Linked DNA regions of Drosophila melanogaster. The protein of the gene in region 3 interacts with the protein of the main gene of each other region in a pairwise test. Each region holds a gene or a part of one and is shown on either strand. Other genes may lie near its edges. The genes, in order: achi, CG15269, CG42727 and CG10321.

Region 1 (7,988 bases), on a different chromosome or scaffold from region 3:
ACTGATCTCAACCGGGATATAGGAAACTCACCCTCGTTGTTCAGCAGGCTCGCATGGACATGAGCCTCGTGCATCAGGTCCTTTATGTTCTGCCGTACATGGCGATCCAGGACCATGTTGACCTCCTCTTGTTCCGGCGAGATCATTGCAGCTCAGACTTAAGCTTCAGAAAACAGAAAATTCATTAAAACACAACCAGAATCGGTGTGCAAATATTGAAAGGAAAAGCACAGTAACTTTAATTACAATTTTTGCAAACAGAGAAAATTGACACTTTTTAGTTTCTTTAGGTGTTGTCACCACAGACTTTGAGATTCAACTAACTTTTCCCGAGGGCAGGCAAGTCATTCAGACACCAAAGTCATGGCCAACTAGGGTTCAAAAACAAATTTTTTCAATTGATTTTTAAAAATGGTTCTTTTCAATCGGTCTGCTTGTATCGAACGTATTAAAGTAAGTAATTAAGTACAGGAGAATTTTATAAATATTTAAAATTAATTAAGTTAGGGCCAACTATCGATAACTATCGCACAAACATTGCGCTTGCACACGAGAGACCATGAATATTTAGACAAATTCACTGCGCGCCCAAGTAACGGGCGTCTCGAAATGTACTTTTTACCTTATCCAAAATTTATAAAAATTTTGATTTGTAAAATTTAGACAAGCGCATTTATTTGGTCAAATGTAATATCATTTTGATTTCAGAAGATTTGTATGTTGGAGGTGCGATCGTCACTTGTTATACCCGTTACTCGTAGAGTAAAAAGGTATACTAGATTCGTTATAAAGTATGTAATAGCAGAGGGAAGCTTCTCCGACCATATAAAACACATATATTCTTGATCAGGATCAATACCCGAGTCGACCTGTCCGTCCGTCCGTCTGACTGTCCGTTCGTATGAAGTCAGGAACTATCACAAGTTTGTGGACCTATTTTGCCACGTCCACTCCAACGCTTTCAAACCGTACAAAATGCCACTCCCACACTTTTGAAAAATGAAAACTTTTTGCCACGCCCACTGTAACGCCCTAAAACAGCGCAAAACTCACGCCCTCATTTTTGAAAATTTTTGGATATTTCTTTTTTCCGAATTATCTATCAATACCCCAGAAAAATTATGAAATTTCTTGTTCACATTTTCACATATATGTACCGGGTATCTGATAGCCGGGGAACTCGAATATATCATTCTTTTTTTTTGTTCTATAGCTTTATAGTTAAAAATCGAATCATTTTGTTTTTGCGCCACTCTTTATTATCTGTGGTAACCAAAGTATTCCAATACATTTATAATATTTATAACAAAATTAATTTTGTCCTTCCACAAACGTTCTCATTTTATGTATGTATGTGTACATAATTACTAGATACCTTAAAAAAATGGCTCTATCAGCCAATTAGATAAAACACACCATCATTTTATGGCAATGTGTATTTCAAATGCTTGTTTATGTTTTATTTAAGTATCAGTAGTGTACATGTTAAGTTTAAAAGAGTCAGGTCCAAAACTAAGTCGATTTGTTTGTGAATTGACTTTGTGGAAAAAGGTATTTGGGCGGTCGCATTGCGAATTGATCTATAGCTTTGTACGTTATGTTAGTAACCTACTCAATTAACACAATAACATGGGGGTTATAGACAAATTTTTGGGTCTAGTGCTGTTCGATTAAATTACTTAAGTATATATATATATCTATATATACATATTTGTATATACACGCTTCGGCACTTTGGGAAGTCGGGATCTGTAGCGTGGGTATTTGGTTTGAGGCTCTAGTCTCCCATGTAAACGAAATCGTCATCCTGGACGTCATCGTTTTGGCGCACAGCCATGGCAGTTTCCACTAGATAATAGAGACACTTGTACTTGGCACGCTCATCTGGACTTGTGCCTAAAGCAAGATTATAAAATAATTAAAAATTCAATATAAAGTTGATAAAAATAGGTATAGGTTACCCTGCGACATAGCAGATAATTGACTCTGGCCAGCTTCTGCTTCGGCACCGGTAAACACCTCGTCCGCCTGTAGATTGTCACCAATGTCCTGTTGATTGGAGTTGGTAGGATCGATTGTCTGGATTTCTGAGGCCTGTATTCTATTCAGCTCGCTTTCAAAGTCAGTCAACTGTTGATTCACTTTAGGAGTAAAAGAGTTGGATATTACCAAAGAAACCGAGCTCTAAGTCTGCAAACTTCACTCACCGTCACGCTTCGCAGTCTGATTGCGATTCCAGATGGCGGTATTCTGAACAGATCCCTTAGAACCAGAGGTACCTGGATTATTGCCAGCCGAAGTGCTGACTTCCTCAGTACCAAATACAGTTCTGGAATTGCAGAGGCCGAGATTACAATATTTTCTTAATACATCCACATAGCTACTTACTTTATAACGCTCTGCCAATCATGGGAGGTCTCGAAGCGTACTTCCTCCTCGCTGTTCGGCCCACAGGACTCGTATCCCTGTGCACTCTCTTCGCCTTCGGACCTGGGGGTAAAAGTAAAATCTTAGCACCGCCACTCGCACTTGAGTAAGATTTAAGGCTCTGGATCAGTCAATGGGAGCAGAAGCTGTACCTAGGAGACACCACGATTCCGCCGTATGAATCCTTATAGCAGTACATGGTTTCTTGCTTATTCCCAGTCTTCTGCTTTGCTTGCTTGGCATTCTCCCTAGGACTCTTTGCAGCAACCGTCCGCGTTCTTACGCGCTTCGGAGGTCTTGGCTTTTCTTCGTCATCGAACTCTGGCGGCAGCTGGCCAAAAAGGCTGTATGGCAGTATTGATGTGGCAGGACTGGAGTTGGAGCTCGACCCACCAGCACCACCAGAGCCAACCGCCGAACCCCCAATGGCGGCAGCCTTGCGCATCTGATAGTTTTTAATTTTATCGATCATGGTTGCTTGAAGCGAGGAGTGAAGACTTTGAAAGCCCATCGGGTTGTTTGCAATGGCCTGCTGCCAGCTTGGAAGAGGAAAAGGAGTTTGGACATAGGTGGGATGGGATAGGAGATAGAAGTGACTAACGCTAGGGAAGCAGGTCATAAAGACCGGTTACCAGTTACCTGTAGATGACACTGTCCTCGTACTCCGGCTCCATCTTGACCATTTGTCCGTTGGGGCCCTGCACATACTGTTCAAAGTTGGTCAGCACATTGGCGATGCCCTCGTGAATCTCACCGGCGCCATCCACCTCCTCTGTAGCGCCAACGACCTGGAGTCAAGCAATTTAGTAACTTCAGTGGTATAATGATTGACCAGAAGATAACACACCACTTCGGAAGCAGGACTTCCGTGTGCGGGATTCGGCCCAGTCAAGTTTGCGCCCAACGCACTTGATCTCGAACAGTTGGGGCTAACCTTTTTGCCACGTCGCGATATGGTGAAGTGCAGAGGATCGTTGCCCTCGCGCCTGATCATCTCCGGTAGAATGCGGCGACGGGCATTGATGAACCAGTTGCACACTTGGAGCACCGTCAGATTGGCCTCCTGGGACAGGGTGAACTTCTCCGCATCGCTCGGATAGGCGTTATAGCGGTGCTCATAAAGCCAACGCTTTAAAATCTTTACAGAGGTCTTGGGAAGATTTCCACGACGTTTGCGCAGCGACCCATTTATGTCGATGTGGTGTTCACTGTCCACCATCATGTCGTGGTAGTTTTGCACCTGGTTGGCGCCGTGTTCGGTGCTCTGATCCTCCTCCACGATGACGTCAGCGTGAAGAGAATCCTGGTCCAAACTTGAGTCCGAGTGGAAACGGCCGCGTCCTGCAGATGACATGCAAAAAAAACGGGCATGAACAAGACCGAACTCGACCGAAATATAGCAAACTCACCTTCGTTCTCCAGCAGGCTCGCCTGGACATGAGCCTCGTGCATCATGTCCTGGATATTCTGCCGTACATGGCGATCCAGGACCATGTTGACCTCTTCTTGTTCCGGCGAGATCATTGCAGCTCAGACTTAAGCTTCAGAAAACAGAAAATTCATTAAAACACAACCAGAAACGGTATGCAAATATTGAAAGGAAAAGAACAGAACTTTAATTACAATTTTTTTTTTTTTACAAACAGAGAAACCTGTCACTTTTTAGTTTCTTTAGGTGTTGTCACCACAGACTTTGAGATTCAACTAACTTTTTCTGAGGGCAGGCGTCATTCAGACACCAAAGTCATGGCCAACTAAGGTTCAAATACGCATTTCAAATCGATTTTTGATTTCTTTCCAATCGGTCTACTTGCTAAATCGATTAATTTCCAAGGAACTATACATTAAACGAACGTATTACAGTAGTGAATTAAGTAAAGAAGAAATTTAAAAATATTTAAAACAAATTAAGTTGGGGCTATCTATCGATAACTATCGCACTGGCACACGAGAGACCATGACATATAACATGTCAAATTGACACTTTAACCAAAATATTTTGACAAATTCACTGCGCGCCCAAATAACGGGCGTCTTGAGCTCCCGGGGATTCACCTGCGATGTCCGAATGGGTGCCACTATCATTTATTTACACTAAACACTGGTTTTCCCAGTGTTTCAGCCAGGCCCCGGTTACTGCACTCAGCAAACTGTAGTGACGGGGCAGTCGTCACAACCGTAGTATCGAGGCCAATTAGACAAACTCTTTTTGCAGACAACGTAAATATAGTAACGAACGTTGGGGAAAGCTATTTTGGCACTGGTTTTAAAGCGTTTTATTCCTTTTCCTTGCTGCGTGCCAAACAACAAATTAGTGGCGAAAGAAATCCGATAGCCGCTTATGTGCGATAAATCATGGATGGGGGTCCACTGGGGAGTTAGTTCAGTTGGCAGGTTCATTTGAAATTTGAACAGTGGCGCCAAGAATAAATACAAGTTTTGTTAAGTATAATTTGTTTAAGAATTATAAACATACACTAGTTATCTCTACGCTGGAAATTAAATCTACATTTAAAATAAATAAGTTATATTTAGAATGTACATAATTTTTTCTAAATAGAACAAACTATTTTTTTTATAAGTTTTCAACCTTTCAAGCTTAAGATTTATGTTTTAAATGTCTTTTTCGATAACTATATAAATTATCGATATGTATAGACGTTACTGTCCTAACCTATCGACGACTGAAAAGGTTTGTTTTGTTGCAAGTTTATAAACAAACAATGGAATGCGTGCTGGACGAGGAGCTGCTGGCCAATATTAAATGTAGCGACCAGGAGGAAGAAGACGAGGATGGTGAAAAGATGGAGGTGGAGGAGCGGCTGCCGCCGGTCGATTCCACAGTCCAAAGTGCCTCCTTTAACGGAGATGACTCCGATCCGCTACAGGAAGCAGTATGCAATTTTCCCTGGATTTTCGAGGACAGCGACATGCTGATGAACGAGGACCAACTGGCTGACGTGGTGCTGAAGAAGGAGGATTCCGCCAGGCCAGCTGCCCCGAAGCGAGGACGTGGTCGTCCACCAAATAATAACGGAAACTACACATCTCCTTGTGGGCAGCTATGGAGCGTGACCAGGAGCCCAGATATTTCTGCAGAGGATCTACCCCTTTTGGGGCAACAGGCCTGTGGCAAGGGACCCGCCCGAACAGTGTCCAATGCAGTGGAAGCATGGATGCTGCTCTTCGATGATGAAATGCTGCGGTCTTTACTTCGCCATATCAATGAACAGATGCGTAAGCGGAGAACGGCCACAAGTGTCCAGAGACCCCTAGACGTTGTGGAGCTGCGGGCATTCTTGGGTCTAAGCTACCTTTGTGGAGTGTTCCGAAATGCCAGGCACAATGGGCCATTGGATGAGCTGTGGACCCTGGAGCTGGGCAATGCCATATTCCGAGCATCCATGTCGCTCGCTCGATTCGAAAGCATTTCCGAGTGTCTGGCGGGAAATTGCGGCTGGTCCGAGGGCCAAAAGCTCTGGCAGCGCCTTATAATCAATTGCAGATCCTACTACGGCTGCAGCAGTTGGTTGACCGTGGATGAGACATTCTGCGCGGTGGCCAAGTCACGGATGACCCTCTGCTGTGATGCCAGGACACTGTACATGGCCAATGCAGTGGTAAGCAGAAACCAGAGATGTCCGGACAAGGATGTAGAACAACTGATCTGCGATTTCAAGACCACGGGAAGAAATGTAACGCTGGGATCACGGTATCTAAACTTGACGCAGTGCGAGCAGTTGGCGCAGCGGCAAATAAGCTCGTTGGGTAAGCTGGAGGCCAATTCGCCACATTGGCCGCGGCAGTGGCCCACAGAATCACCCTTGTTTGGTGGCAGCTCAAAACTCATTCCGCTCGATGGCGACGCAGTCTTCTGCTGCGGTCTTAGCTCCCAAGTAGATGCAGTCCAGGCATATGAGCAAACCTCAGAAGCCTGTCAGCAGTTTTACGAACACTCCCAGCGCTTCAGCACAGCCCACGCTACGCCCGCACCCTTGAAAAAGCAGATCAATCCTTTTCTGCAACTACTTCACTTTGTGCTCAACGCGGCTGCCGTGAATGCATGGATCCTGTTACGACTTTCGCCCAAAGGCGATGCCGCTATGGATCAGCGCGACTTCCAGAGACAGTTGGGACTCTTCCTCACACAGCAGAGATTACAGCGACGCCTTCAGCGAAGATCCACCAGCACTTCGCTCGTGATGCGACTGCAAATCTGCGAAATCCTGGGCCAATCCAGTCAGCGGCTGCTCAGTGAGGCGACCGGCGAGGCGAAACTAACGCACAGCGTAGGCGTGCTAACACCCGACAAGATGAGCCTGCCCTTGGGCATTAATTTGGCTAGTCGGTACGGAGAGAAGCATCGCAGGTGCAAGCCCTGCGCTCGAAATAAGCGTGGCACTAAATCGCGGACGCGGTGCCAACAGTGCTTGCAACATCGATGCGGCAACCACTTGATATCCCGCTGCTACGAATGCGTCGGCATTTTGCCTGGCCAACTGCCCGAGGGCAACATGGTGGATGAAGGAGCCACCTGAAGATGGATATTAAATAACATTTATTGAAGAGACACTACATTCCTTGTGGGGGCTTGCAATATGGGGATGCTTGCAATATTGCTCAATGGTGCAAACACTTGTGCTGTAACTACGATGACAACGGCTTAACGATGGAAACTGGGGACTAGAACTTGTACTGGAAGGACTTGGGTGCCTTGTACTTGCTGGCCATTCCCGAAGAGTCCACAGGATCGCTCTGGTCGAGGAACAGACTGAGGAACTGTTCGTTCTGCAGCTCATTTAGCGGCATCTCTAATTCACTGCAGGATTTGACAATCTCAGCGCAGGCTCGCAGATCCTTGCGCATATCTAAAAACGAAACGGGAGTTACATAATATTCGGTTGTGTTGCACAGACTCACATTGATAGTTAAAGAGCAAGCTGAGGCAGCTGGAGCAGGCCAAACGCTGCTGGTGCTGCAAGAACGCCTCGATTAGCCGATGCACCGCATCAACATTGTTACGGGCCAGAAATGAAGAGCACAAAGAACTGGCTCTGCAAGGAAGGTTACATTGGGATTCAAATTTCGGGTTTTTAAAGAAATTAAAGCGACTTACCTCCTCTCCACTAGCTCTTGCAGCTCCTTGTAGTGCTCAAACAGTTCCGAAGCCGATTTTTGATCGCAAAACCAATCGCTAGCGAAGCATTGCTTCCACACACAGGCCACCACAAAGATGTCCTTGTGCTCGCGGTGAATGGCACGCGCTACCTCCAGCAGCGACACTAGCACCGCCTCACTCTTCTGGGCCAGAGTCTCCTCGGAAATGGTGCGGAATGCGGAGCGCGCCATCCGCCTGCCCTCCTCCGAAGTCATGCTTACCCCGTAACCGCGATGTAGCGTCATCAGGGCCACGTCGGCGTTACCATTGTTCCACAGGGCGATGGCGCGGAAGGGCGCCAGATCCGCGTAGGTCTGTGAGAACGGGTGCTCCAGCTGCCGACAGGTCTCCGCCAGTGCCTCCAACTGCTGGAGCTTGCGCTGCGCGCTCAAATACTTTAGAC
Region 2 (7,921 bases), on a different chromosome or scaffold from region 3:
CGTTCAATCTTATTGCCAAAATGTTGGACCCACCATCGCTGGAAATAAACTTGGCAAATCAACACATTTGTCAAGCTACACATAACAAGGCGCAGACGAGAAGGTCCAAACAATCCAACGATCCAAAGCCCCATCAGCGAATAAAACCAAAGGTCCACGCAACTAAGGAAATTAAACGGAATCCGTAAGGAGGACAAACCCGAACCGGCGGTGAAGATCGGAGTTCGGTGGGGAAATCCCAGGCAAAGTTGATCACCCGCTGACAGAAAATCACTTGGCAACGCGGCTGATCATTAACCGATAACACATGACATTAAAGAGTTTCACAAAGAAGTTTTAAACGCACACAAAATAAGATAAATGCCGACCACCCCAATGAGGGGGAACCAGTCGACTGAACCACAACGCACAATCCCGACAATAACGAGCGGAAAATTAATAGTGTGAACAAAGAAGAAGAACCATGGGGAAGATCGAGGAGATGGAGATGGAGATGGGGATCTGGGCATCTGAGATAGGTATCAGCTTACATTGGAGACGGCCCCAAAACGACGACGGTAGTAAGGAGTTGGAAATTTGTCAAAATGTCAACGGGTGAAACAGTTTTGGAGCGTTCATGCGAGTCACCTGGATGCGTTGCGATGGGATGCTACGGATGGAGATGGAGCTGGCAATGGAGGGACTTCGCATGGGGCAGCCACGTAGCTTTTGTAAAACAAACCATTAGCAGCTAATAAACATTAGTCATGCGACAAAACAAAGTCTCCTGGAGTCTGCTGCAGAGGCCCGATGATTTAGTGAGTGTAATTAAAACTTAAGTTTCCTTCGCTTCGCATATGTAAATTATCTGGCGGAATTCCACGAAATGCCAACCGAACTGAAAAAAAAAAACGAAATACGAAAAAGAGTTTTTCAACTAAGGTTGAACAAGTTTTGTGGTGTTCGCCCGGTCCTCATATGTATAATTATAATGAATAGCCTGTTTAATCAAAATTTATGCAGATCGTGGTCAACCAAAGCGAGCAGCGCGTGTTGACAGTCAAACCATTATTAATCACTGGCAAGAGGATCGGTAGTTGGCTAGCGCGGAGGATTTGAAGGGGCTTCTCCGCCAGGTAATCCTGATAAGATCGTTTTGTAAGTGATCGTGGACAAATCGTGTGCAAGATTGTGCCTTGCGCATTAGAGTCTCTCTATGCGGCAATTGGCAATTAGAAAACAGAGACTTTCAATCCTCCAATCCTTGTGAGTCAGAATATCAACTCCATTTCACCGGATCTCATTCCATGTAGCTGTAAATGTATACCACTTCATTTGTATCTGCAGCTTCCTTGAATTCGCGTGGTGTGTCACCATTTTACTTCACCTGTGTATGGATCCTCCGAATCCTCGGCCTGGATACCATGTTATTTATGCGCGTTTCATCCAATCACAAATCACTTGAGGAGCATTTTGTTTTGCACATTTTTATGGCCGCTACTGATGCTATGCAAGTCGAGGAAGTGGTCACAGTCCCTCTTGGATGGCAACTAAATGTAGTGGATCAAGCTTAAATGCTTCAGAAAGAGGTATTTGTAGGGCACCCTTAATTGGCATAGGCTATTTTTTAATAAATTTATGGAAAAATATTTGGGTTCAAATTGTTGTTTCTTAAAAATTCTTTACTTTACTTTAATGGCACAGCACGTCCTTAATTACTAAAATATTTCAAGAGGGTGTCATAATCATCCATATATGATTATTTAGACCTTTTGGGCTTACGTTAAGTTTTTTGGCCAGTGTGGTCAATCATGAACCGTTAACAACCCTTTTTAAATTCGCAAGAAAAATACCTGATTTCCTATACACCATTTTGACGATCGTTTGACGGTTATGTCATCTAGTCCCTAGCTTCAATTCCTTCCCACACTCACACATGGCTAAGACTGCAGAGCCGTGACGAACCAAGTCACCTCAAGAGATGATCGCTGCGCATGCGCATAACCGTAAGATTCACACATGCCTGGGAATCGGATTCGGAATCAGCGAGGATGTGAATGTGGACGGGGATGAGAATGTGTGTGTGTGGATGAGGAACAAGAGAAATACATTTTGAAAATTTAACGATGCGCACATTTTATTACCGCAATTAATTACAAAAACAACGCGGCCAAAACGAAATCTTAGTCACTTTATCAGAGAGGTCCAGTGGATAAAAAAAATGAAAGAGAGTAGTGCACGGAGAGCGATCTGAAAGGAGCGATAAGGTTTATGATAGATGTGACTAGTAGAACGCTACTAGCAAATGGTTCTGGGTCTGCAGATTGCAGCTCCTCTCGTAATTGGAGGCGCGACAGTTTGTCTCCAGCAGTCAAACCTGGTTAATTGGAGAAGAGACTCCCGGTCTATGAGAGAGAGAGATACGGAGCGAGACCGACCTGTACGGTCAAACCTGTTTCTCGACCAATTAAATTCGAGAGCGGGAGCGTAAGCCAGGCTTTAGGCCCGGCCAAAAGACGATGACGGCTGCTGTGGGCTGTGAGGCCAAGACATTTCGTGTTTCGACGCGTAACGCGACAGTTCCCCGGGCTAAAAAGCGCCTACGCCTCAGAAAATAGTCATCCGAAACGGTAACGCCTGCGGTCTATGAGTGATTCTTCGGTGTGGAGAAGAATGGGTTTCAAGCACGCCATGCTGCAGCGCAGTTACGACCTTTCGCCCTCGCCGGCGCGTACTTCACCCACCAATGGAGTCCAGAACTTGGGAGCTGGGGCACAGTTGCCACCGGCTCAAGTCACTGACTTTAGCATCAGTAAGATTCTGGGCAAGGAGCGTAAATCCGCTCAGGATACGAGCACGAATATCCTGGATCTATCCAAGAGCAGTAGCAACAGTATTAGGAGCCCACAGGCTCTTGGAGGGCTGGCAATACCATCAACTCCTTATGCCTCCGGTGCCTACTCCATGTTGCCGCCAGATTTGGTGGCCATGGCCAATGCCACCAAGTTCTATGCCCAATTCTTCCCGCACTTACTGCCCGCCTATGCGGCTGCTGCAGCGGCTGCCGGCTTGAGTACTCCTCCTACGTCGCCCTATCAAACACATCAGCATCAGCAGCATTTGCCAAATCAGCAGAAACGCTTCTTTGCTCCCTATGTGATCAATGGATCGGTTCCCCCACCACCACCACTGCAGCAGCAACAGCAACCTCTCATACGCACCAAAAGCACCGCATGCACTCGTCCGGATTGCCCGGAGTGCCTGGATTATTACCAAAGATTGCAGACTGGTGGCTATAAGCAGACCGCACCTCTCATCTCACCCGCCGCCTCCTCGGTGAGCAGTTCCACCGGATCAATACGTCCTGTGAGGGATCTGATTATGAGTGCCACTGGAGGAGCCGCCAGCACTAACATCTCACTGACCACCGTGACCAATCTGAGTCTGAACTCGGTCCAGGCAACGGCCGTCGGAATGATGCCCAAGATGACCGGTGGACTGATCACCACAGCCGTCGGCAGCAACAGTGGAGCAATCGGTGGTATCGGTGGATACAATGCCACATCCGCCGAGGAGATCAGCTACAAGTGCCGGATTTGCGAGAAGGTATTCGGATGCTCTGAAACTCTGCAGGTGAGATTTTATTATTGTTATTAAATTATTATTACGATGGTGTTCTGTTTACAAGTATATATCATTTATGACAACCAAAGCGTTTAGTTATCAGTTATTAGCTTTAGAAAAGATAATTCATCCTAAATATATTCCAAACTCTAACCCAAGGATTCAATTTATTCTTAAAATCCCTCAAAAACGAGTAAACACAAAACACCCACGAAACAAATTTTTATATTTATAGTGTAGACAGAATTTTAATTTTTTTTATTTCATTAGACCTTCAACTTTTAAAAAATGAAATACAAATATTCAAAAAATATATGCAATTCCCAATTAGAATTTAAGAATGAAATGATTTAGATTTGCCAGATTATATTTTATTTCAGTTTGCTGCTGTTTAGTTATAAAAAAAGCGAAACGAAATGAACGATTGTATGAAATTTTCTTATAAATTAAATAGCACAATCAAACTTATACGTAAAGTCACTTAAAGAGTTTGTACTTACACACAAGCATTTGGCAAATGCACGCGTATTTTTTTTTTTAATTATAAGTAACAAAAAAATTAATGATTTAGATCTCATCAACGGTTACGTATACATTTATCACAAAGAAATATGTGTTTATGCGGAGTACTAAATGATTGAGAATTATTATTGCAAAGCCATTAAATAACTTTAGGAATTTAACTCCTTTCAAAACATCTAAGCCAAGAACAGCATTAACCTTTCACATGGCCATACATCACATAAGATATCGTTTGGCCGGTCCTCAAAGTCCACATCCACACGAGATCCTCCCAAAACGGGTTTCTTCACCAACAGAGATACCATATGGATTTGGGCGGGGCCTAAAAAACAGAGAAACAGTAGTCTAATTGGAAGGCGGAGCTCCGAAGAAAAGAGTGGAGATTCAAGTGGAGTGGGGAAGAGAGAGGCAGCGAAGAATTGAGTGCCTTATGCAAATCTCGCAAGCAATCCGAGTTCAAAATGGAGTCGGCCGAAAACAGAAACAGAAGCGGGCAAAAAAGAGAGAACTGGTTTTACGCATGGGTGCAGCTACAAGATACGTTAGAAAGGGCCAGACGCCGAGCGAGAGGTAATCACAAAATGGCCACTTTGGGAAAGAACACCAATTTCAGTAGCTAACTGAAGCAAGCCACATTTGAAGTTGCAACAAAATTATTACAAACAATGGGGAACATTCGAATGTGTAACCATGGTATTTTTTGCATTTCTGGCTTATTTTGTATAAGTATAAATGTGTCCAAAGCTCAGTTTTCAGTAACTTTATATTCGAAATCTTCCAATCCTCACTAGAACTTATAGAATAAGGTATTAATATTAGGACCTAATTAAAATGTTGCTAAACATACTCATCTTGAAAGCCTCCCTTCCAAAAACTAACTAACTAACGAACAGTTTGTAGAAAATCGCTGTTTTATGAATTTCACAACAGATTTTCACTACCTCAGGTTTTTTATTAAAATTTTAAATCTCTTACTATTGCTACAATATTACTATTGCTAAGCTAATGTATCTTATTTATTTATCTTATTTGTCTATTATGTTCTTATTTCAGGCTCATGAAAAGACGCACAAATCGCCGCGTTACGAGTGTGCGGATTGTGGAAAGGGTTTCTCCCAGCTGCGAAATTACAAATATCACCTGTCCGTTCACCGAGGAACCAAGGAGTTTGCCGCCGAGTGTCCCGAATGTGGCAAGACATTCAACGATAAGGGATATTTGAGCAGTCACCTAAAGATTCACCGGAACCGGAAGGAGTACGAGTGTCCTTACTGTCCCAAATCGTTCAATCAGCGTGTGGCCTTCAATATGCATGTCCGGATTCATACCGGCGTGAAACCCCACAAATGCAACGAGTGCGGAAAGAGATTTTCGCGTAAAATGCTGCTCAAACAGCACATGAGGACGCACAGTGGTGAGAAACCGTATCAGTGCTCCGTGTGCGGCAAGTCCTTTGCCGATCGCAGCAACATGACCCTGCACCATCGCCTCCACTCGGGAATCAAGCCCTTCAGCTGCCCCCTGTGCCCCAAAGCCTTCACCAAAAAGCATCACCTAAAGACGCATCTGAATTACCATACAGGCTGCAAGCCGTATGTCTGCCCACATCCCAACTGCAATCAGGCATTCACCCAGTCGAGCAATATGCGAACCCACGCTAAGAAGTGTCAGTACCGTCCGTTGGATGGACTCACGGTCACATCATCCGCACTTCCAGTACCGGGAAAACAACAAACAGGTCCACCGCCCACTTTGGCCATGGCCATGGCTCAAACATTTCAAATGCCGCCACCTCCTGGAGTTCTAACACCTGGATCTGGTCCATCCCAACCGCCGAGTCAGCAAACCCTTCTCAGCAATCTCAGGACATTCTAAATGGGTGGAATCGTTGTGCCCGGCCAGTTTCAACCAAATTTGTGGCAATTACAAAGTGCAGTACTTCCACTGTTGTTATTCAATTTACATTTATTTTCAAGCAATAATTTTGCTAGAAATTAAATTAGGAATAGACATTAATTATTATTAAAATAGGCATATATATTGGCCAGTCAATAAAGTATAATATCAAATACAAAAGGATTCCAGGATTCTAGAAATAATATTTTGGATTGGAGATATGATTGGGAGTCCAACTAGGTAATTTCGCTTATAATCAGATAACGCAGCCTTATTTAATTCAAATCTTCTAGTGACAAAAATTAAAAGATGTATGTTTTTTTAGTAAACAAATGAACGAACCGTTGCAGTACATTTAACATATTTAAAAGTGCGCTCTCACTCAGCCAGATGGCGCCACCTGATAGTTTATTACCACTGTAGGTGTGTTGAGTAACTAAACGAAATCTTGCTGTTAAATTGTATTCACAGCTGTCCTAAAACCGAGTTGGCAGCCCTTTTCCCCTCAAAAATCGAAAGTCTGTTAATATATCGATAAGTCAAGGCAATTGTCAGTGGTACCGTTTCGTCTGGTATGACCGTGTTGTGAAATTTTGTTAGAAATTTACAATATAAGCGAGCATAAAAAACGCAGGAAAAGCGCAAAAAAATCAGTAAAACGTGCCTGCGGACCCAGGCTGCGGTGCGTCCAGTTGGCCGTAGAAAGCCTTTACCAAATTCGATCGAACTGAGAATTCGATTCGGTTAACTTCTGCATTGGGCTCAATTTCACCATTGCACACGTGTCTGGAGCTTTTCCTGGGTTCGGTCACCTCCTCCTCGGATTGCGGACGATCCCGTGGTAGCGCTGGGAAATGCCCAGCAGAGGACGGCGGGCAGTTCGAGATTGTTCCGGCAAAGAAGCAGGCGCAACTGCAACAGACGCTGGTCACCAACGACAGCACCGGACTCTCAATGGCTGAGTACTGGCAGCAGTTGACCAACGGCGCCGGAGAAGCGGGACCCGGCAATGAGTCATCCGCCATGGCAGACTGCAACGGAGGTCACGAATCGGCGGCAGTGGGTGGTTCCTGCAACAGGCACAGCAACAACAATTACGTGAACTTCAATCAGTTCATTATGCAGCACAATCTGGGTGGAGGAGCGCCCTCGAATGCCACCAGCACTATGCAACATCCGGTGGGCAGCAGCTACACTAACTTCTCCCTGGGCGGCGGTGGAGGAGCCTTTGGACTGAACCCACCAGTGGCATCCGCGAGTACCAGCCACTTTGCAAATGTGAGTCATCAATCTCCGAATGTATGTTTCGATATATTAGAACTTAGGTTTAGTCCTAATGAATCAACTAATAAATCACAAAACAGTTTTACTCGCAGGCCATGATCCCAACCTATCAAAATGGCGATGGCATCGCTAGAGTCACCGTCACCAGCAGCTATGGGTCGGTCAATCCGAGCAACAGCAATTTTTCGAGTTTTTACACACCTTTTGGCAATAATCCGTTTGACTTCAGCGCTTCCAAGCTGCAGGCCTCGGCTCCGGAATTCGTGCCCAATTTCGCCAAGCTGAGTCTAGAAGAGACACCGGCAGCCGCCACTACGAACGGAAACAGCACTGCCAGCCTAGAGACTGCCATAAATGAGACGAGACCTAGGACTCTGCGAGCCCAAGAACCAGCTGAACGAGGAGCTAACAACCAATGCTCGAACCATAATTACGAACGGGAGCGTGAGCGGGAACGTGACCGGGACCGGGACAGGGAAAGAGACCGGGACAGAGACAGGGACAGAGACCGGGACAGAGACCGGGACAGGGACAGGGACTCTAGACCCGGAAATACGCGACAACAACGCCGCTCCGACTATCGGGACGATCGGGAGGACCGGTACGAAAGAAGCGA
Region 3 (6,902 bases):
GGCAAATAGAGCAGCGGAGAGGATGGCCCATCTTGCCGTGCTGACCTCCGGAACATAGAGAGAGCGAATCAATCGCCACATGAGCAGCGTGTTGACGCAGTGTAGCAGGAGGTTTAGGAACTTCATGTGGGCGGCACTTAGCCCCAGAAGGGCATACTCGCAATGGAACATCAGGGTGGTCAGTGGCCGAAATGATTTGTGGGAATCGGAACTGAGCAAGGAAGCACCCCAGAAGTCGTGCGTGAAGATCGCCGTCCAGTTGGTGGGCAGTGAGTTGACATCCCGGTTCTTGACGATGGCCACCGTATCATCGAAGACAAACTTCGCTCCACTGAGGCCACCGCATCCGTAGCATAGCAAACAGATTAACACTAGGATTGCCTGACAGACCATGCTATGCAGCGTGGCTTTGTGAACGAGGTCTAGCATACTGGATTATTTACTAATTGTCAATTGTTCAAGTTTAATTCACTTATTCTGCGAATTTTAATCGGAATTGTTTTGTATACATTTTTTGTTGTGTTTTTGTCCAAACACCCCCTCACTGAATAGTGATGCCAGATCAGCGATAGAAATGTGTGCAGCTTAGCTAAATATATGCATCGAAAAATATATGGTTATAAAATGATTTGAAATTACGCTAAATAGATCTATCAAATCTGCTCATTTTAGAGTATTCATATTAAAATAATTATACATACTCTTGATATTAAAGTATAAATAATAGTAATAACAATAAACCACTAAAAGCAAACAAGACATTCGCCCGTTAACGCTTGCAACAGCTGTTTAAATCTAGATCAAAACAAATCCGAGGAAAAATTTGTTGAACTCACAAAGAAAAATTAAATCCTCGAAAATGTCTGAAGAAATCCTTTTCGATTGCCTCCATGCAGAGATAGTCAATTATTGTCTGGATAGCAATAAGGTAGGAACACGAGGGACGCAAAAAAAAATCAGTCATACAACCGATTTTGATTTGGTTCCGCCTATTAGGAGCACGACCTGGCCACTTTGGAGTATATAGGCTTCACCACCGGCTACCGCCTGATTGAGCGGCTCACCCGTGAAGTTTCGCGTTTTAAGGACGAGTTGGAGACTATGAAGTTTATATGCACCGACTTCTGGATGCTTATATACAAGAAGCAAGTGGACAACCTGAGGACGAACAACCACGGAATGTACGTTGTGCAGGACAAGGCTTTCCGCTTTCTGACTCGCATCTCGCCGGGCACCAAGCAGCTGGAGCACGCGCCCAAGTTCGTGGCCTTCACGTGCGGGCTGGTGCGAGGAGCTCTCAGCAATCTAGGCATTAACAGCACCGTGACGGCCGAAGTGCAAAGCATACCCGCCTGCAAGTTTCACATAGAAGTGAACAGGAACTAATTAGGATGTAAGGCAATGGTTTATTACTACAATTATAGAGATACTACAGACTAGACTAGGCTATCTTTTCGTAGAATGCCACAATGTTGTGGTCAGTCCAGTTAAGGCGTTCTCGCAGGATCCACTGGTCGATGGGCAGTTGGGGCTGGGCGGGATTGGGATCTGTGTGGATTCCCAGGGCGGGCAATGGTCCAATCAATATAAGCCACTTTCCTTGATACACATTTAGATAGTCCAGAAAAGCTCCTCGATTGTTGAAGTAGCAGAAGAGCAAGGCACACGGATGAACGTCACTGCAGCATTTGGTCAATAAATCCGTATCCAGTTGGCTGGCATCCTCTAAATAGTTAAGCGGTATAAAACTTCGAACGGAGTACTTGCTCTGCCACCAGTTGCGATCGACCTCCAAGCCAAACATGGGGACTTTCCGACCTCCAGACACTGTCATAAGCCATTCCAAAAGCCCACTGCCGCAGCCGATGCTCAAAACTCGCTGGATGTCGTGCATGGCTAGCAGCTGATTAAAGTAGTCCAAGTCCACCGATGTCGGCCACATCCAGAGCAGCTTGCGCTTGAGCTGTTGGTCCAGGCAGTCGCCCAGGACAAGCAACTTGCGCCAGTTGCACGACGCATCATCAGTTAGGTAATAAATTTCACGCAGTGTCTCGAGTTCCGATTGCTCGTCCATCATATTGAATACTGTTAGTTGCAAATTAAGCGGTCTTGCTGCTTCCGATGGCCGGTGAACTTGGCAGTGACGCCGGCACGCGGAAATATGGCTAGCGGCCAACAAGATTGCTGCGGTTCGCTTCGGTTCGCAGCACCTGACTGATCTCTAATAAATTAGAGGACCCCTTTGAAAAAGGGCCAACTCATTAGAGATCATATCGTCACTTTGTGTTTTCTTCTTTTTGGTACCAATATTTGAAATTCTTGCGCCAGTGCATCTCGCTAAATTTGGAGCTACCTTGCCCCGGGACACGCGGCTGGTGATGTTGCATGGCTGGTTCTTGGGCATCGGGGCTAGGTTCGCTAGAGTATTCCTCGTTGTCCAGATCCAAGATGATCTTGCGATACAGCTGGACATTCTCCTCTGGCATTACATCTGGCAGAGGCAGATGCTCTGGGACAGCTTTCCCTTTCTCCATCTGCAGTTCAGGGAGTTGAGATGGCAGTGGCGTAGATTGCAGCAACATCACTGGCTCAACGTTGCCCACACTCTGGATCACACTGTTGTATCTTACAGTCTGAGATGGTCTTTCTTCCGCCGTCGTGGCCTCCTGAGCACTGGACCTCGGTGTAACCATTTCAACAGTACTGGCAAACGCACAACCAGGGTGCATGGATCGCAGATGTCGCAGCATGTTGTCCTTTCGGTTGATAGTGATGTCACATTGGATACAGCGGTAGCGTTCGGCAGTCTTGTGTTGTCTTAAATGTCGGCCCAGAGCATCCGGATCATTGTAGCTTTTGCCGCACAGGGAACAGGACTGACGTTCGCGATTTGAGTGGCGCTTCATGTGCAGCCGAAGCGTGGTTTGTCGCAGAAAGGACTTCTGGCACACTTTACACATGTGCCGAATATTGTTCTTGTCGTGTTTCCGCAGATGCTGGTTCAAATTGGCCTTGTTCTGGAAATGCTTAGAGCAGAGCTCGCATTTAAATTGCAGGCCGAGATCGCTGTGGATCGCCAGGTGGCTGGCAAGAGAGCTCTTGCGGCGGAAAACCTTCTGGCAGATTGGGCACAAATGCTTCTCCTGGTTGTGGGTAAGCATGTGGCGCTGTAGAACAATTGGTTGCTTGAAACTTTTGTGGCAGACGCTGCACGAGTGTTTTGATTGTTTCTCATGGCTCATTAGATGGTACTTTAAATGTGAACTGGTAGCAAATCTCTGGAAGGAAATCTCAGTCATGAAAACTACACACAGCATAAGTACATGCTGCAACTCACGCGTCCGCACTCCTTGCAGTTGAACTTCTTGAGAAGATCGTTGCCGCAGGTGAGGTGGTAATACTGCTGGGTCCGGCTGCGAAAATCCTTATTGCAGACGGTACAGTGGTAGCCCTTATCTGTGACAATTATTCGCTTATCAGCCGACGTCCTTGCTTGCGTTTCCTGTGTCTCCTGGATATCGACACTTCGTGCAACTCGACATTCCAGGCAATCCGATACATCCGCCACCAGGCAGAGACGACACTTGGTGTGTCCACAGCTGTCGGTGACGAGGCGATTCTGTCCTGTAGCATCGCAGTTGCAGCGAGGACATTTATTCATTGCTAAATTCTAAATGCATTGAAATCGCACATACAGGAGACTAAAATTGCAGCTATGCTTCTTCTTTCTCGCAGCCATTCAGCACGAAACGTAAACAAAGTACACGGTCAGAAATACTTTTCATATATTTTACATCCTTTATATTAAAACTAAGAATAAAGATCTTTTTATAAGAGTACTATGAGCTGAGATTTTGTTCGTCCTGCCTATTCACATACATCGTTCATCTCCAGGTCGGCCACATGACCAGGAAACAGGTGCGCCTTCTGCATGGGTACGTGCACAAAGTAACGATCACAAAACTTGGGGTTCCGCCGAAGCAGGACCTCAGTCAGTATTGTGCCATAGTCGATCTTCTTGGTAATCAAAAGGCGCCGGCTCTCTCCACTCCCATAGCTAGCGGAACGCAAGCCAAATTGTCTGGCGATTCTGTAAAGGGAAATGCCAACATAATAAGCAATTATTTTTTACGATGTGGGATGACGGTGCTTACTGGTGAAGCGTGGTTCTTTCTTCCTTCGAAAACGTGGGCTCAAACTGCATGTCACGTATATCGTCCGATCTCACATAGTTTTCTATAAGCCGTCGGTAATCAGCGAAATTTCCCTTTGGATTTATTAATCCAAGACCATTACGATTGTTCTTTAGCAGATAACTGAAAATATAAAATAAAATAGTTTCGTTTGGTGATACGTTAAAAGTCGAACTCTTACCATACGGGCTCTTCACGTCCCTGCTTCAGTCGCCCTAAGCCACCGCCTGTCCAGCCCATCAGTCGCATCATGCGATATCCCTTGTTGCTGGGGTCCAATTTGGGATCGCACGGACTGTCGGCGGACTCATTGGTGACTTTGATGTTGACGCCGTCCTTGTTTTTTTCCACCTTGATGGTGTCGCGCGTGGCATTCAGCTGTGTAGCGTAGTACCGGGTTTAATAAGGCATACATTATTTCAGAAATTTCATACCTTAATACTATAGCAATAGGACTGGATCGTCAAATGCGCCTGCTTATAGGCAGCTTTCTTGGCCGCCTTAAGGCTCTCCCCCTGTCCTGTCGCTATTACCTCATCATTTACTAATAATTCGGCGTATTTTGTATTATCGCTTAATGGCTGATCTCGGCTGACACGCTCTTCGTACTTGACATTCGCAATGTTGCAGGAGTTTTGCAGGCAGGCTCGTCCCCCAGCCAAGTACACAATGAGCCGACCGAAACGCAGATCTTGATAGAGATCGACTGGATCTCCGCCGCCAAAACACTGGCGTTTTATGTGTGAGCTATCCTCTGGGGAGCTCGTCGAGGGAAGGGGTGGAGCCCGGCGCCCTAGTAGTTGGAATTAGGCATTAGGCTTTGGTCTCTCTGGCTCGTATAGTTACTAGTGATAAAAAGAATCTTCTCTCGCCTATGGGCCCACTAATTGTTCAGTCGTCTACCTTTGGCGCGCTGCTCCGCCGCATCCGACGCCGAGACAAATGTTCTCTTCAGGCGCTGTTCCCGTTTCTGACGGAAATCCGCTGCGATTTCCTTGGACAACTCGGCCACCAAAAGCATCGTCGCGCTTGGATACTTGCAGCCCATGAACTCCATGTTGACGAACGTTTGGGCCAGGCACACCAGCCGGTCCTCCTCAAAACGATCCTTGTGGGCCAGCATGAAGCTGCGTCGCAGATCCCAGTGCTCATCACTTTCGTATTCCGTCTTGTAGCTGTCTACATCCCAGTCCAAGGAAAATTCCCCGGATCCATAGCCGGCATCATCCTGTTTTTTAACTTTGACTTTCTTCTGCTTTGGCTTGGATTGTTGAACGGACATCTTTACAGGGAAAATAAATAGCGTTCAACTTGTCAAATAAAATGAGCACAGGCACGCTTGTTTTTTGATTGCTGCTTTCCCATTCACAGCGAATTATCAATTCGATTGGCCATGTGTTGCCCATTGGCTATCGATAACGCAGCGATAACGATAGGCCCCATCACGGCTATACTTTGTCGTGCGTGTGTGTTTTTAAGTTCCTGCCTTTTAATTCATGATTTTTTGGTAACTTAACAACAATTTGGAGAGCGACGCGACGCCCAAGAAGTCAGAAACGAATTGCCAAAGTGTCTCCACAGACGATTGCCCCAAAGTGAGAGATCGGATCAGCCCAAAGCAGCCAACATGAGCATACCCAACGAGTACATAGCGAAAACGGAGGATGTGGCGGAACAGGTAAGATATATTAGGTTCCACTGCCAAAAAGAAGTCCACCAGGACTCCATATCCACCGCAGGAAGCGTCTTCCCGATGCGCCCCAAATGGCGTTTGCGGGGAAGCCCTGGCAGCTGCAAACTGGGAAAACTGCCAACGTCACCCAAACGCGGCAAAGTTCGAGGGTCTTGGCTGCATATAATCACGATCCGCTGACATGGGGGCAACGTGCTGGGCATTTGCTTCCAATAAGAATCTGGGTGCAACCCAGATGATGGGTTTGCCTTGTACTCCAGTACCGCAATTGACAGTTGTTGCGTCTGCCGCAGGGAAAACTCTCTCTCTCGCTGCTTATTTTCTACCTGTGTGCTGATGCGTATGTGTCTGTGTGTGTGTGCGAGAGAGCTGTCTCCGCAAGTGAAAGTGTTGAAAAAGAAATAGCGGGCAGCTGGACGCCAGCGGCCAGGTCGAGTTCCGTAATAGTTGGGCTAGAAAGCCAGGTGAACTTGCTCGCGATTTACATACATACATGTATGAAGTTACATTGACAGCCGGGCCAAAACCCGTTAGCTGGCAGATAGCAATCGAGAGATACTAGCGTTTAGAGACACGTCACAGCCAGCGGGCGATTTCTAGCGACTACGCGCAAGCCACGCTCAACGGCATTGTATATTTAAATCCCTTATCACCTTGTCAGTAGTCCCCTTATCACCATATCAGCACCCATCCCAATTGCTCTCAACTCAACCAGAACCAATCGAACACTCATTTTTGCAGGTCATCAAGCGCGGCAAAAATGTGCTGCCCACAGTGGCCCGTTTGTGCCTCATCGCCACGTTCTTCGAGGACGGCCTGCGCATGTACATCCAATGGAACGAGCAGCGGGAGTACATGGACATGAGCTGGGGCTGCGGCAAGTTCCTGGCCACCGTCTTTGTGCTCGTCAACCTGTTGGGCCAACTGGGCGGCTGCGGCATGGTGATGGCCAGATTTAAGGTCGACATAGCGGTGGGACTGCTTTTCTTCATTGTGGTGTTGCAGGTGAGTCTGCA
Region 4 (8,264 bases), on a different chromosome or scaffold from region 3:
ATGTCATCGCAACTGTCCAGCGAGCGGGCCTTCTCCTTGGTTTGAAAATTGTTTATGTCTGCTGTCCAGGGTAAGGCTTGTAAAATGTTTATAACTAGAGTGCCGTCGATGGTGAGAAAGATTTATGTCGTATTGATTTGATTAATTCCCACCTTAGGCTTTGAACTCAAATGTGTTGTTATTAATATCTAATATTATTTCCTTAAATAAAAGTAAACGAAAACTGATTGATCCACCCTAATGCTTACAGAAATCATAACTAACCAGTGTTACACACACGTTCTATTCGGATTGAGTCAAATGGTGCCGATTATCTTATCGCCAAGTGTGGACTGCAAGTTGGGAAAACGAATACATTCATCACCCCGGTCGTTGCTCACTAACTGGGTTTTCGGTGACGCTATTACGGACACGGACCGGCTCTCACCGAAAATCGAAGCGAATCTCGGCCGAATCCTTCATCAGTAGATAAATATGGTGATATTAAGGTGTTCGTTGTGCGACAGCTTGGCGGTCAAGTTGAATGCGTTCGTATAGGCCGTTGCTCAGGTGTTAGAAAATTGCAAATTTAGTTACTACTTGACCACCGAAGTGTGCCTATCGACGGCTGTGGAGCAATTCAATCGAAGAACTCTGTGCATCTGATCTGCGGAAATGTCTATGAAAGCCATCATCATCGGATGCCTGGCCGTGCTGGTGACACTGGGTGCGGCCCTCGATGAACATCCTCATTTCTGCATTAAGACAGATCCCCTCCTTCTGTCGGAGATCGATCGACATGTGGTCATCCCCAGCGAGGAGGACCTACAGTGCCATATTAAGGCCACCACGTTGACCCAAAACGAGAAGGTAAAATTTTGGGCATATGGGAATACCCATTTATAAGCTAAAGTTTTCTGGATTTTCTTGGGGGGTAAGCAAACATACTAAAAGTGGAATTTTAGAACAGTCAATTTATGGCAATTCGTTATGGATACAACTGCTCTTGGAATAAAAGTATTTCAGTTAGTGCAATTATTTGGCGACTAAGGCAGATTGCACGATTCCATATTTGTTAAAAATGGCCTCAATTTGAAAAACTCCCTACCTTTAATGGCAAATGGTGCGTCGCCAAACTAGTTTGCCCCATCGACATCCTTAAGTGACAAATCCAATGCCAGCCAATAAATTATTCGAGTGGCTGATATTCCAAATTGAATTAGCTTGACGATAAAGTGACAAAGTGTCCATCGCAGCTGAAGAAGATAATGCCGGCGGACCTGAGATAAGCCGAAGACGGTGGTTATATACGAACAAGGTGTTTGTTTCAGTCTTTTACTTTTATCTCTTCATTTTCCAGGCAAACCTCGTGGACACCCTGTGCGCAGATCATGGCTCCACCACAATCAGGCGAGATAACCATCACTTTTTTAGGCTGCGCAACGGAGAACTGACTGGAAGGGGAGTTCAGACGGAGGTGTGCGCCAACGGAGGTGATTCGGTCCTGGCCTGGATTCCCTACCACACCGTGCTCAAGAACTATGCGGCCGAGCTGAATCCCAAGGAGCGACTGACATACATTGCCAAGGCCACGAACGTGGAGCGGGAGAAGACAGAGCTCTGTCACTTCCGACACACGGATCTTGTCAATGCGGTGTCCGACAATCTGTTCACCTGTGTGGTCATGATTTTTGGCGATAACTTTGTAAGTTCCTCGGGAAGATGGTTCGGTTGATGTCCTACAAATATGTTATCTTTATAGTATGGTCTTGAGGATAACATTAACGTACTGGTGGAACTGGAACCTTTGGCATACCAGCTGAGGAACATTACTTACCTGCCGTGGCGCAATGTGACTAACAGCTACAAGATGCACCTGGGTGACAGTGTGCTCCGAAATCCCAGTGGCGAACGTAAGCCCATTTACGGTAGCCTGAACTACGATTTTGTGGAGAAGATCCTTGTGAACATGTCCAGTGTGTACCAGCATAGGAAGCTATCCAGGCTGCCTCTGCTCTTCGAGCACCGGTCCTCTGTTCTCGAGTTGGACTTGTATGGTATGGGTGGCCTGGATGTTGCGGAAAAAGCCTATTTCGGACGAAGCATGGACCCCAGGAGCGAGGTGAAGGTGCAGGTGATTGGTCAATGGGTAGACCAGCATCGGGAGTTCGACGCCGACATATACGAGTACTATGGCCATGGGCTGAGACGCTATAAGGAAACTCTGACCGGGGCCCGGCTCACCTTCATCCGAATAGATTATACGGAGCCGGTTTTCATGGCTCCGGAGTCTAGCAACCTGGCCAAGGCCTCGCTTTTCCGAGAGCCGAAGGTTGGCCAGATAAGGGAGGATCCATCGGGCAACTATACCGAGTGGGAGAACGCACAGGAAGAGGATTACGATGAGGAAGGTCCAGGATTCTACTGCTGGTTTGTGATTACTTGTCTGCTTTTGGCCCTCGCTATTATCCTGGGCATATACATTGTAGTAAGCGCTCACAACAGGAGAACCAAGAAGCGCCACATGTACGAAGTGGCCAACACGAATGTGCCTCCACCCGCCTAAAAATTATGGACATTAAGTTAAGTTTTCTAAATCAGAAAATAACACCAGGATCAACAGGTGTTTTCAGTTCGAAATGTCAGTTTAAAAAACGAGTTGGCAGCTCAATTGCTATGTCCTCGAATTAAAATTTGTGTGTTCGTTTTTTGGGTTAGATTTATTAAAAATTTCGGCTTGAAAATGTTAATGTGAGTCAAAAAACTGTTGTGTGTTTCATTGAATATGTAAAGAAATCCCCTGGTATGAACGGCAAGGAATGGCTCTAAAATCGAGAAATTAAAGAGACTTGTGAGCTGAAGGACCCACATCAAAAACCTAAGTTGTAAATAGAGAAAAGGTAAGTTTCAATGGAATTTCATGCCTTAAACATAAGAAGTTTTAAGTATTAAAAAGAAATCTAGAAATCTGAGGAAATAAACAAAATGATTTCCGACCGGCATGCGTTAGGGATTTCTGTCTTTATACCACGTTGGCAGCGCCATTCACAACACGCCTATCATCTCACTCACACTCGCACACAGAGAAAGACAGATAGAGGCAGAAGTTCAGTTCATCAATTCATTCATCTCATGGAAGAACCTTATTGATAACGTCGCCAGAGATAGCTAGTGATTTCATTCGATCAGGGTCCCGAAAGACCCACTGGTGTGCACTTGTTTTGGTTTTGAAGTTCGCATCTCTGGGAACGTGTGTGTTTCGCCCTGAACCACAAATATGTGAGTTCCGAATGCGATTTGTGTGACGCGGCCATATTTAAAGAGTTTTTTGTGTTGAATGTGGGGCGAGCTGCGAAAATTACATAAATACAGCGCAGGTGAGTTCATTTTTGTTGCGGGAACCCGGTCGAAAGGTGCTCTAAGTGCGGGTGCAAGTGAATCGAAAACAATATTTACCCAATTCAAGTCGGGAATTATGTATTTGTTTCGTTTTTTGGGCCTAAAAATCGCATTTTTCGCTCACACCAACACCAAGATGGTAAATTGTGTATAACAATATGGCTGTCTCTGTCTGGCACAAGAGCTACCAGACGTGTCGACAGTCCCTGTTATTAACAGCGGGTTAGCAGGTCATTTTACAACAGATGAAATTATTCTGAATTTTAATTGACCATTTTTTGGCGGGCAAATCATAACAAACCTCGTACTCATGCACCTTTCGGGGATCCGCTCATTCTAATGGTTATTTTAAATTAAAAAAAACTGGCCCATTGCAGCCTCCCCCTAGGAACACGAAGTGATGGATCGCAAGAAGGTCCTGGAGCTTGACAAGATCTGCCGCCTGTGCATCTCGGAGCGCAAGGAGATGCGCCCGCTGTTCAGCGAAAAGGTGCCCGAAATGCTGATGGACTGTACCAGCGTGCGGGTGGAGCCCACGGAGGGCTGGCCGGACAAGATCTGCGTGCAGTGCGTCCACGCCGTAAGCCGGAATCACGCCTTCAAGACGCTCGTCGAGCGCAGCGACAAGGAGCTGCGCGAGTATATCCGCGGTCTTACCGTGGCACTGGTAATGGAGGAGCAGCAGCAGCAGGAGGCGGCAAACGCTAAGCAGCAGCTTCAGCTGGAGCGGAAGCAACAGCGACAGCTGCAGAAGCAACAGAAAATCCTCGAGGAGCAACTCCAGCAGCAGATAGTCCAGCAGCAACAGCATCAGCCTCCTGCCAAACCAAAACTGAAGCCGCTGCTCCGCAAGGGCTCCCGCCAGCAGAAGCAGAGGCATTTGGAGGCCGCACCAGCACCACAGTCAGTCCCGCAGCCCGCCCCTCAGCCACAGATGCAATTAATGCAGGAACATGCGCCGCAACAGCCCACTATGCAGCAGCAGATCCAGCAGATTCATATGCCCACACTTCAGCCTGCTCCCGCCCAGCTACTGTCCGCTGCCGGTGCCACCACGACTATGCCGCAGCAGATCCTGTTGCCCAACGGCCAATTGATAACGACTGCTCAGATTGTAGCGCCGCAGTTGGCGCAGATCATCAGCACAGCGCCGCAGTCAACGACTAATGGTCAGGCCACCGCTGCGCAATCGCAATTCCTGCCACAGCTTCTACAGACGCCGAACGGACAGACGTTGCAGATTGTTCAGCAGCCCAATGGCACGCAGACCCTGCAGCTGGTTCAACTTGTGCCGCAACGCAGTTTGGCTCCGACCGGAGTCACGACAGTGACCACAACTACCAACGCCACGGATATGGGTCAGCATGTAGGCGCTTCTCTCGGTGATGCCGACGTGCAGTTGCTGGAGGACGGCTGTGAGGTGGAAGACGAGGAACTGGAAGATGTGTACGAGCAACTGGATAGCAAGGCAGATCACAGCTTTGAGACTATTGTACTGGACGACGATCAGCAGCAGGACTTCCTAAAGGACCACCACGAGCACCACCAAGTAATGATCAACGAGGATCTCACGCAGAGTGAAAGCCAAGACCATGAGTACTTCGACGATTTGGACCAACAGCAAGCAATGGACGAGATAGAAGACGAGGAGGAGCAAATGAAGCCCGAAGAGGACCAGGATACGTTCATAATCGAGGAGATTCAGCTGGAGGATGACGAGATGCTCGATGATCCGGATGGGGAGGAAATCGACCAGGATTGTGAGTACATCGGTGAGGAACAGGATCCGCATTTGTCCGGCGACGTAGACGACGATCTGGAGTATTCCATTATGGAGCCGCCGGATGGCGAGACAAGTGTGGACATTGACCAGGCATTCATGGATTCTGAGCAGTCGCATCATCAGCAGCACCAAGAAGAGATGCAGAGCATATCACTGGAGAACGCTGTTGTAGAGTTCAGCCAGGCCACAACTACAACGGAAGCCCTGGTGGGTCCCACTATGACCGTCAGCTCGGCCAGTCCGACGCCAAAGCGAGCCAAGCGAAGTAACCACCAAATTCCAGCCGGTGTGACTCTGGAACCCTGCGACCACCAACCACCTGCCGCTGGATCAACGACCAGCAGCAAGCTGGCCGCAGCCAACTCTCGCCAGTTGGTGCAGACGGCCAGCGTGATTGCAGCCGCCGGTGCGGACGACAACTACGAAATAGATGCTAATCTGGTAACTGAGTTCATACGACAGCACACCTCGCCTCTGGGATCTGGGAGATACATTTGTCACCTGTGCAGCACCGAGTTCCGGCAGTTCAAGGGCCTGCAGAACCACATGCACTCCCACACCAACTGGATACGGGCCAATTGCAAGAAACAGCCGCAGTGCCAGATCTGCCTAAAGAGCTTTAAGGGCCCAGGAATGCTGCGGATGCACATGAAGACGCACGACGCTGAATCCAGCACACCGATGTGCACCATTTGCAATCGAACCTTCAAGTCCAAGGCGATCTTGTACAGGCACAGACAGACGCACCAGCAGAGAGCGTATTGCTGCGGCGTGGCCAACTGCCGAAAGAACTTCTCGTCCGCGGTGAACCTCAAGTGGCACGTAGAACGCAAGCATCCGGAGGTTGTGGATCCGCTGTTCAAGTGCGGCGAGTGCGGATCTTTGTACGACAACGTGGACTCACTGCAGCTGCATGTGGAGAGCACGGATCACAGTGCAGAGGTGCAGATCAGTGGCCAGGACGATGCTTTCAGCGGGGCGGTAAGCATCGTCAGCAACGGCACCACCGACATGTCGAACATGATGGCAACCGGCCAGGGTACGACTTTGGCCGGCGGCACGGGCGATACCCACGCCGTGGTCATGGGCTCATCCGGCGAGGTGTACTTCGTGACGCAGGCGTAGCCAGCGGAGTTTGCCGCAGCGGGCGCTCCTGGAAACGGCGAGTGCCTGCTCGGCATTTAGATGACCACTTAGATGTAATATATATACATATATATATATATATTTTTGTACTACCCCCGTCTAGATAACAATTTAGGAATAAGCACAACTACACAAATATTGCAATCCTAGATTTCTGTCGTAGAACTTGTTTAGTAGGACCTAAGCGATTCACTCGAATTTTGTAAGCAGATACGAAACTTTAGGTAGGCAGATCGAGGCGGATCCTCACATCCAAACGCTTGGGGCATAAATCCTGCGTGGACTGTGCCAGTTTTTGTTTTTAATTTTATTACCCTACTATTATTATTTTGTTTTCCCGGGGAATACAGACTGGCATTTTAGGCTAAACGTATTTTGGCGTTGGGTTTTCATTGTTGGGCTTTGAAATAAGTGAATTTGTTTTAACTGAACAACAAAATAAATTAACAAACCTTCTATGAAACCATAATTTGTCTTTCTTGTACGTCCCATCTGGCCGGTAATATTTATTTTTAAGCGTGTAATCCAATTCGCTGGCTTTGTTGGCTTGTTGTTCAATTGCATTGACAGAAGACCGGGAAAAAACAGAACCCAAACAAAATTGATCGAAAGAAAACAACAATCAAGCCAAGGTCTTGTCTATTGATTCCCAATTGCCACGTGTCGCGTTCATCCGGTTATGGGAAGTATCTGGATAACTACGATTCGCGTATGGATGCTTATGTAAATCTGTAAATGCCTATTAGTGTGATTTAGGTACATGTACATACATATATATTATATTATCCATAAAAAGTGACCCCCCAATAATCGGTTATCTGATCGCAGTCTGAAATCTCCGGCTGTCACAAGAAATTGTTAATTAATTAGCAAATAAGCCGCGAAAATAATCAATTGGAATAACATTGTGACAGCTAAAATCGCCAGGCGTTTATTTGTTTTGTTCAGATTATATATGGCGGTCAGCCGCGTTTCGCAAGATAAGATAAAGGTTTGGTTTTCCGCTTACAAATATGACGCATACCTTCGACTTACCGCCCTTAATTTTCCAGCCAGCTGTTGGAAAATCTGGCCCAAACTAAAGCTTATATTGTACATAGATATTTTAGATAGCTAGATTTTTGATTCGTAACTAGCTGTATCTAATGCAACATTTTTAAAATGGGCTTTACCTATACCATCATATGCTTTACATTTACATTTACATATGTATATATTCATTGCACTTATAATATATTCTTCATCTTAAATGTCATGCTTTCATGCTTGGCTGGAAAAGTCCTTGCACTTTAAACCGTCGAAATAAAACTTGGCCACGCAGCCAAATAAATGTCAAGATAAATTTCGTAGGCCAAAACGAATTAATTAGAAAATAGAAGAATTCTTTTTAAGATAATATTTCCTACAAATTTGCTAGTCTATCACATAGTGTATTTTTTACACAAAAATATTTCAAACATTTGAAATCAATGGGAAAAATGTTAATGGGGCTTTACGTTTTAAAAATACATATTTCAAAAATATCTATTTTCGGATCGCGCACTATCGAACAAAAACCGGCGACTGTTGGCTCCCAACAGTTGGTCATCCATTTCAAATTTAATTGATTTGGCACTGGCGAGGGGTTCGTGGAAGGGGGGGGGGATCAAAATAATTGCTCATAATAAATTCCTTTGATTCGCCAACAGGCGAGTCACAAAACACGCATTTACAACCCATTAATGCACAATATTTTGTGTTAATATTCGGCGGTTTTGGCATTTATTCAGATTCTCGAATCGAAATCCACGACGTCACCAAGGCAAATAAATCCAATTTTTAGATGACCTTTCTGCTGGTTGTGCTGGGTATTTCCAATCCAAATCCACTTTTTTTTTTGGGGAGGTTGTGATATTAAAACGCAATTGGGAATAAATGAGCACATCGAAGGCGCAGTTTAATTATTAATATGGCGCCG

The links.
Region 1: the proteins of CG42727 (region 3) and achi interact in a two-hybrid assay, tested with the Drosophila melanogaster proteins (one large-scale study listed by BioGRID).
Region 2: the proteins of CG42727 (region 3) and CG15269 interact in a two-hybrid assay, tested with the Drosophila melanogaster proteins (one large-scale study listed by BioGRID).
Region 4: the proteins of CG42727 (region 3) and CG10321 interact in a two-hybrid assay, tested with the Drosophila melanogaster proteins (one large-scale study listed by BioGRID).

What each region holds. Positions count from the first base shown.
Region 1 is NT_033778.4:12,510,294-12,518,281, forward strand, and holds achi (achintya), read right to left. Parts: upstream 4,770-7,988; 5' UTR 4,483-4,769; intron 4,106-4,482; exon of another isoform or gene 4,051-4,105; intron 3,969-4,050; 5' UTR 3,952-3,968; coding exon 3,837-3,951; intron 3,769-3,836; coding exon 3,275-3,768; intron 3,216-3,274; coding exon 3,067-3,215; intron 2,967-3,066; coding exon 2,580-2,966; intron 2,491-2,579; coding exon 2,389-2,490; intron 2,330-2,388; coding exon 2,208-2,329; intron 2,142-2,207; coding exon 1,962-2,141; intron 1,897-1,961; coding exon 1,778-1,896; 3' UTR 1,241-1,777; downstream 1-1,240. Other genes in the region: vis (vismay), read right to left, coding at 32-146; CG13151 (uncharacterized protein), read left to right, coding at 5,151-6,965; CG8818 (uncharacterized protein), read right to left, coding at 7,111-7,295, 7,348-7,481, 7,544-7,988.
Region 2 is NT_033779.5:15,106,915-15,114,835, forward strand, and holds CG15269 (uncharacterized protein), read left to right. Parts: upstream 1-2,490; 5' UTR 2,491-2,670; coding exon 2,671-3,612; intron 3,613-5,178; coding exon 5,179-6,000; 3' UTR 6,001-6,178; downstream 6,179-7,921. Other genes in the region: stc (shuttle craft), read left to right, coding at 6,976-7,320, 7,386-7,921.
Region 3 is NT_033777.3:15,344,878-15,351,779, reverse strand, and holds CG42727 (uncharacterized protein), read right to left. Parts: upstream 3,733-6,902; 5' UTR 3,662-3,732; coding exon of another isoform or gene 3,338-3,661; intron 3,279-3,337; coding exon of another isoform or gene 2,277-3,278; 5' UTR 2,078-2,276; coding exon 1,442-2,077; 3' UTR 1,389-1,441; downstream 1-1,388. Other genes in the region: Tmtc4 (transmembrane O-mannosyltransferase targeting cadherins 4), read right to left, coding at 1-429; Trs33 (TRAPP subunit 33), read left to right, coding at 860-928, 997-1,386; CG42726 (uncharacterized protein), read right to left, coding at 2,277-3,278, 3,338-3,661; CG31301 (uncharacterized protein), read right to left, coding at 3,868-4,090, 4,155-4,316, 4,375-4,571, 4,628-4,986, 5,097-5,475; Surf4 (surfeit 4), read left to right, coding at 5,821-5,871, 6,628-6,891.
Region 4 is NT_033778.4:21,631,626-21,639,889, forward strand, and holds CG10321 (uncharacterized protein), read left to right. Parts: upstream 1-3,053; 5' UTR 3,054-3,356; intron 3,357-3,755; 5' UTR 3,756-3,778; coding exon 3,779-6,286; coding exon of another isoform or gene 6,287-6,346; 3' UTR 6,347-6,774; downstream 6,775-8,264. Other genes in the region: CG15674 (uncharacterized protein), read left to right, coding at 661-849, 1,340-1,684, 1,742-2,545.